Macaca mulatta: one gene and its partner. The protein of the gene in region 2 interacts with the protein of the main gene of each other region in a pairwise test. Links are inferred from orthologs where the notes say so. Each region holds a gene or a part of one and is shown on either strand. Other genes may lie near its edges.

Region 1 (3,821 bases), on a different chromosome or scaffold from region 2:
TTACAGGTGCCTGCCACCACACCTGGCTAATTTTTTATATTTAGCACAGACAGGGTTCTGCCATGTTGGCCAGGCTGGTCTCGAACTCCTGACCTCAGACGATCGGCCCACCTCAGCCTCCCAAAGGGCTGGGATTATAGGTGAGCCACTGTGCCTGGCCTGTATAGTTACTAATTCTTACACTTTTGAAGGCATTTGTTTTAAGTTTTTAATAGTTATGCTTTCTGTTTTTCTATAATAATTGTATTTTCCTATGTCTAGCATTACTGAACCACATTTAATTCTGACCAATTATTCATATTTATTAAAATACATCTGAATTATAACTCCTCTCTCTCAATGTCTATTTCCTGCTTGTGATCTTCTCTAAACTGACAATTATATGGAATTCCTTTAAACAGGAATAAGAAAGGCACAGGGGATGCTGGAGTTGAAAGATACCACAAATATCTATCTCCATGTTTTTGTTTTATAGATTAAAAAACTGAGGTCCAGAGAGATTAATTTGCTTAACTTTGCAAATCAAGGACTGCATCAAAAATGGAAGTTGAGGTTCTTGCTTTTGACCTGGTGCTTTCTGTAAGAGCCCACACTACCTCCCAAAGGCACACAGTTTCTTATTACTTGAAACTATTATCTAGTTAAGGTAAAATCCCATTTTAAGCCACTTTAAAAAATGACAAAAACATGCCAGAGAAGTTAACAGGAATTCTCACTAGTACTTTCTAAAGTGACAGTGTTTCTTACAGTTTATATCCTTTATAACATAGGAGTTGCTACAATTAAGAAAGATAATTTTCATTTTTATCTCACTGCAATTATTTGCCATCTAGTCTCTTATTAATCATATCGTTTTCAAGGGTAATCTTCCTCTAGTCCTATTTTCTAGATAGAATAGCTCTTAAATAAAATCCAAGAGATTTGCTATAGCTTTGTCTCCAAAATGAGTTTTTTTAAAGTCACTAATTTATCAATGAAGACTGTTTAAAGTACAAGCCAATAGTTTCTATTAATAATCTCTGATTTTTAAAAATATCAAATTAAGACTAAGTATCTTAAGCCAAATATTTATACTTAAGTTCAGCCTCAGAAAGTCAGAGACTATAAAAGAGGAGTGTATCAACTTTTCTGCATAGAAATACTGGAAAACATTATGACAGAAATTTCTATAGTCATTCATCATCTGAAAATATTTCAAATGCCTTTAATTGTAAGAAATAAGTACCAGTTTCCATAAATGACTCTAGCCTGCAAATTGTGGTATATTCTCTCTTATGAGCAGGTCCTCCCTCCTGGGAAAGGGTATATTCAGGAAGTCTCCAGCCATGATGAATAGCCAATTCCTATAAAATCAAGATGAGGCTTTAATAGTAATTTTATGCAATGGCTCAATCACATAAGTATTTTCTTAATTTTGATCCCATTTCTATGTATATGTTTGAAAAGAATAGTGATTTTCTGCAACGGATAAAAGAGGGAAGACCCTCTATTTCTCAGAGACATTCCTGCATTTTGTATCTTTATATCCCAATACCAAAACTGAATCAGTTTTCTGCTATGAATGGTGTTCTTGAATTAAACCATAGTGAGCTGGTATGAGACTTCAACTAGAAAAACAGGCTACTACCGCCCTCTTTGGGAACACCAGAGGAGACCATCTACAGGTTTCACTGCCATCAGTTCCTAAAGTCCCTCCCCTCCTAGCTATAGACTTCCAAACCCACAGCTGGCCAAGAACACATGAGTAGGGACAGCAAACAACAGACTTGGATGAGGTGGGGGACAGAAGGTGAAGAAAACTATAGAAAAGCTCATAGTGCTGGAAAAAGAGACCAAAGGACTGGCTGAATAATGGGGAGGGGAATGGCCTAACAGAGCACATGAATAGTCTGCAAGGATATTCTGCATATAGAAATTCAAAGCTGAATATGTGTGCATATGTGAGTGTGTGTAGATATAAATTTTTCTTTTTTCGGTAGAATAAGCAAATAAGCAGACTCCTTTTCTTGAGTTAGGTTCACTGATTTGATTTAGGCTCTTTATAAAGTCTTCTGTCTCAACAGAAGTAGAAAGAGATTTGTCACAAGAGTAGCAAGAACTATTCTTAAAGTATAAAACACTCTACCCATGTGCACTGAGGGCCTATTGATCTTAAATGAGAATTGTATAAGCCAAAGGCAAATACTGTATATGGAATAATTTCAAGTTAGCTCTATAAATCTAATGATCGTAAGTTGGAAAACAAAATATATCACTATCTTGTCTTTAAAATATTAATTCCTTGTGTTAGCCCCTCTGATATTACAAACTTATTATATATTTCATCAGTAGGCAAAGAACTGTACAACTTACCTGTAATGAACCAATAGGATTAAGCTGGTTCTTTGGTTGCTTGGAAGGGTCAGGCATTAAGGGATCAGGAACTGCAAAGCTAAATATTTTTTAAAAGTGTTATAAAACAAAATAATTTCCCCCAAATTATGAAATAAATGACAAGCATTTTCTAATTAACTCTCTATGTCTTTGCTCTTGTCATTCCTTCTACATGGAATGCCCTTTTCTCAGGCCTCTTCTATGGGAATCTGATCTGTCATCCAAGATATATCTCAAATGACACTTTCTCCAAGAAGCCTATCCTTTTACCCCAGTGGTTTATAATCTCTCCCTTCTTTGAAACATTATAACACACGGTTTAATCCTTTCTTGAGGAAATTGTTTTACCATAAATTATATACTCTTACAAATACATATAATTTGTCCATCCTTCACCATACCTCTCCCCTATTCAGACTATAAGCTCCTTGAGGTAGGGCCTATGTATCACTTACCTACATAAGCTTTGTGGCGTTTTGTACGTAATAGGCATGTCATAAAAAAATATTTAAAGAATACTCTGTTACAACTATGCAAAAAATAGAAGAGTAACAATGATCCAGAAAATTGAACCTGGCAATGTGAACAATACAGATTATTTATAAACATTGTTTTTTTCATCCAGAGAACTATGAAGAGAGATCTGTTTGATCTGTCATCTGCTCAGTGCTGGGATAATCCTCTAAGATTTACATGTATCCTGCATAAAATAGATGGCTTAGATGAATTTGGTTTTAGCATGTGGGGATTATGATTAGGGAAAAAGAGAACCTCTTCTAGGGAGTTGGGAATTACTAGTTACTTGGCAGGTCAGTGCTTAAAACTGAATAAGCGGCATTTCAAGGTTACTACCACCTAGGCAACTGGAGTCATTTTTCCATGACAAGTGAGGTTTAGTTATTGCCACTTCCTCAAGGTTTTTTTTTTTTCTTTTTCTCCAACTGCGAGAACTTCAAGCTTTACATAGGCTGATGAGATATGAGTATTCACTTACAATGCTGCATGCCGAAGCTACCCAAATAATTGTGATGGAGAAGTGAGAAAGTCTCTGTATTAAGTCAGGCCACTTTAGGCCTGATTACAGCTTAGTAATTCCCATTTTATCTGTCAAGAAGCACAAATATAGTAAAGTTTGTTAGCTTTTTTTGCTGACAAAGTGAAGTGCCCAGGTGCAGAAAGGACACTCTATACCCCTCATTTCTACAAGTGTACTTACTGGTTGGGTTCACCTTCAGGCTGTACAGAAACAGCATGGCCATCACCAGTGGGGGAGAACCCAATACCTGCCATGTCATTTGGCATGTCTTTTGTTTGTTTGGAGACAGAGTCTTGCTCTGTTGCCCAGGCTGGAGTGCAATGGTGCGATCTCAGCTCACTGCAACCTCTGCCTACTGGGTTCAAGGGATTCTTGTGTCTCAGCCTCCCAAGTAGCTGGGATTACAGGAGCA
Region 2 (3,821 bases):
AATTGATAAAAATACACTGACTTTTATAAATGAGCTCCACTTTCAATATCTTAGAAAATTTCTTTAGCAAAATGATTCTGCCTTTGCAGATTTTAGTTATGGATGAGATATTGCTTAGACAGCGCTGTTCAACGAGGCCCTAATTAACAACTATTTTTGAGTATCACCTATGTGTCCCATATTCCACATGCAATGTTTTAAGTACCTATGCATATAAAAGGTGAGTGACAGCTAAAATTAAAGCACTCTTCCCTCAACTACAGAAGATAGAGAACAAAGAGGGAAATTTTTGGAATCATGAGAAATTCACACACCAACACACAACAAAATACTTCAAAAGACATTGATTGGTGCTACAATTTCAACTTACCTACCATCAGGTTTGATCTGTCTATTTCGTTTTTCTTAAAACACAATGGTTAAGTTAGGGAGCTGTAAAATTTAATTCAAGACAACTGTTTTTCCCCATCCCTGCCTCCTTCATGTGCTCTGACAGGCATGCTTTCAAATAAAATTCCACACTGCTTTTTCTCAAATAAAAGGCGTGCTAGTAGCCAAGCACTAGAAAACAAGGCAGCACACACACACGCACACACCCCCCAAAATAAACGTCACACACACACACCCCCCCCCCCCACGCAAAATAAACGTGTTTCAGGTTAGGATTATGGTTTTAGTTTTGAGCTTTTAAAAAAGTAGTAAAATTATACATTTAAAAAGATAAAAATACCTTAACTGTGTCCTTTTAAATAAAGGTGAGCTTAGAAGTTAGGACCTTTGAATTCAAAAGTTCCTGTTCACTTTACTGTTAGCCACTGAAATTCTAAAAAAAGAAAAAAGAAAACCAGCAATGAAGGGCATCGAGGGTAGTGCAGACACCAGGGAGACAACCTCTGCCTGCCATTGGCGCCCCTGGTTACACTGTCACCACCTCTCGGAGCCAGCAGGGCCTCTCCAGGGAGCCCACGGCAGGCTCCAGGCAGCTCATCACTGTGGACACCCTGGTGGCTCCAAGACAGCGTAAACATCCAGGAGACCTGGCTCAGGGTGAGTCTGGGAAAGCCAATGCTGACATAATTTTCAGTGTCTGTGAGTCTCTGCCGCTGAGACAGGAATGAACACACTGCCTGAATGAGAGGAAAAGAGACAGCTGCCCAGCCCAGTCATAATTTCATTCTTTTCATTTTTCATTTCTTTCTTTTTTTTTTTTTAAGACAGGATCTCACTCTGTTGCCCAGGCTGGAGTGCAGTGGTGCAATCTTGGCTCACTGCAACCTTGACCTCCTGGGCTCAGGTGATCCTCCCACCTCAGCCTCCCAAGTAGCTGGGACCATAGGCGTGCCCCACCTCATCTGGCTGATTTTTTTGTATTTTTGTAGAGATGGGCTTTTGCCATGTTTCCCAGGCTGGTCTTGAAATTCTGGGCTCAAGCAATCCACTAGCCTTGGCCTCCCAAAGTGTTGGGATGACAGGTGTGAGCCCATCAATTCCTCTACGAATGGCTAGGTTTGTGATCGGTAAAGGAGATTAATCTTGCAGAGGGACTCATTTAAAAGGCCCTAGAGACAAGGCCCGGAGAGACCCAGAAAGATCACCTTGGGTCCCTTTAGAAGGACTCTCATGTTCTTCTGATAGCCACAGAGCAGCTCAGGTGGTGTTTTTTTCATTCATGAGGATGAAAACATTGCAAAATCAAGACAGATTAAATCAGCACACTCCAGAGATACTTGCCACTGAGCAAAGGCTTGTTGAGGGTGTAGAGAGGTGGCAGGTCCTCTATGTTGGAGATCCGCTGGTACATGGCCCTGGAAAGGTGGTCCCCATGGTAGAGGCTTCCCAGGATGATGCTCGAGAAGTAAATGGGCTCCACGAAAATGCTGAGCAAGGATCCCTGGATGCCCACCACGTTCCAGCTGGAGGGATAAGAAAGCACAGTCTTCAGGGAGCTCGGACTCAGTGCCGACGCGCCCCAGCCCAAGCCTGAGTGGTTACAGGGATGCACTGACAATTCTGCAGGATACCAACCAACTGACGAAGGAGCGAACAAAAGTAACAGACTGCTTTAGCAGCTTACGATCGCAAAGACAAAAATCTACTTAAAAGTTATTTTACGCTGTGATTTTCTTTACCATTACGTTTCCCATAATCAATGAGCCATGTGTGTTTCTTGTGAGAAAGTTGTGGGAAATATCAGAAAGGAAATTACGTATTTATTTCATTACAGCAGGTCCCCTTATCTGAGGTTTCACTTTCAGAGGTTTCAGTTACCCACTGTTAAGCATGATCTGAAAATACTAAATGAAAAAATTCCAGAAATAAACACTTCCAGACTTTAAATTGGATGCTGCTCTGAGGAGTGTGATGAAATCTTGTGCCGTCCAGCCAGGGGTGTGAACCATCCATGTTGCAGATGCCACTGGCCCGTTAGCGGTCACCTTGGTGACTAGATTGATGGTCGCAGCATCACAGTGCTTGCGCTCAAGTCACTCTTATTTTATTATTAATGACTGTTGTTAATCTCTTACTGTGTCTAATTATAAGTTAAACTTTATATAGGAATGTACTTACAGGAAAAATACCAGCACGTACAGGGTTCAGTCCTGTCTACAGTTTCAGGAGTCTACTGGGGGTCTTGAGACACATCTGCGGAAAAGCGGGGACCACTATACCTCTTTTAAAAATGATAGCTCTTCAAGGAGCCCTTCAAAACATTCAACTGCTTATTTCCTGTTCTCTGCAAGTGACAATGGCACTGAATGCACAGGGAGAGAGGGTGTGGGGTTTACAGCGGCTGCATGTGTGCAGCTGACATGCACGACACCAACTATGCACACCAATGGCAACTTAGGTATTCGTTATCAGGTCCAGCACACACATGCCTTCACAATATGCCTGTTCTCTCTTTCTGAGCCCCGCAAACAGCATGCTCTGCTCAGCCTGGGAGTTGCTGTGTCCAGAGCACCCTTTGCTGGGCACTATATACACATGGTGTGAGGTACTGGGGGGAGACACAGCCTAGGAGCTAAACAATAATGCAATGAAAAGACAAACAAAGAACCATAAATTGAGGTAAAATCAATTTGGAAGAAAGGGCAGGGTTCTGTGAAAAAGAAAAAGGGGTGTATGAACTTCAAGGAATGCTCCTGGGGTGACCCTGAAGCTCAGCCCCAAAGGAGGGGGCTGTGAGGCTGAGGGAGGAAGGCATGTCCCAACCTAGGGGGCAGGGGACGCAGGACAGCAGTAAGGGCAGCCAGGGCAGAGGGGCAGGGCAGGGGCCCCTGAGCAGCCAGGAGCCTGATGAGGGATGGGGCGGTATTCAGACGGCAGAGAGAGGCCAGAGAGAGAGAGAGAGCCAGCCACTCAAGCCTTTTGCTTACCTGCTGCCTGAGGCCTCCCTTCCCTGCCGCCCAAGCCCTCCACCCCGATTCTGACCTCCATGTAATTTACAGGTCCATGTCGGGTTATCCGCCCCATCCTACCCCAGCATGGGAAGAGGTTTCTGTCGGCTTTCTTTACTGACCTATCCCAGCACTCACAATATGTACCTGACACACACACAAGATCAATAAATGTGTCGAATGGACAAATCCTCCAATTCCTATGACACGTTCCTTCCACCTTCCAAAATGGAAATGAAAATGCAGGTTTCCCTAACTTACAGAAAAAGCATGAACTGATTCAATGCCTCTAAGAAACACAGGCCTATTTCTTCTCTAGATTAGAAGCCTCTACGCACTTAGAGCATCTTTAAGCTGAATTCAGTCTTCAGGGCAAACTTTAAAGCAGTGATCCTGCAAAAACCTACATTTGTTAGGAGTCAT

What was found.
Region 1: the proteins of ADARB1 (region 2) and PRKRA interact in binary tests that used the Homo sapiens proteins (3 or more experiments, as listed by UniProt). The link is inferred for Macaca mulatta from reciprocal best matches to the Homo sapiens genes ADARB1 and PRKRA.

The regions. Positions count from the first base shown.
Region 1 is NC_133417.1:83,391,556-83,395,376, forward strand, and holds part of PRKRA (interferon-inducible double-stranded RNA-dependent protein kinase activator A), read right to left. Parts: intron 3,801-3,821; exon of another isoform or gene 3,290-3,800; intron 2,432-3,289; coding exon 2,353-2,431; intron 1,344-2,352; coding exon 1,226-1,343; intron 1-1,225. UniProt on the Homo sapiens protein: Activates EIF2AK2/PKR in the absence of double-stranded RNA (dsRNA), leading to phosphorylation of EIF2S1/EFI2-alpha and inhibition of translation and induction of apoptosis.
Region 2 is NC_133408.1:2,331,726-2,335,546, forward strand, and holds part of ADARB1 (double-stranded RNA-specific editase 1), read right to left. Parts: intron 1,914-3,821; coding exon 1,732-1,913; coding exon of another isoform or gene 1,728-1,731; intron 1-1,727. UniProt on the Homo sapiens protein: Catalyzes the hydrolytic deamination of adenosine to inosine in double-stranded RNA (dsRNA) referred to as A-to-I RNA editing.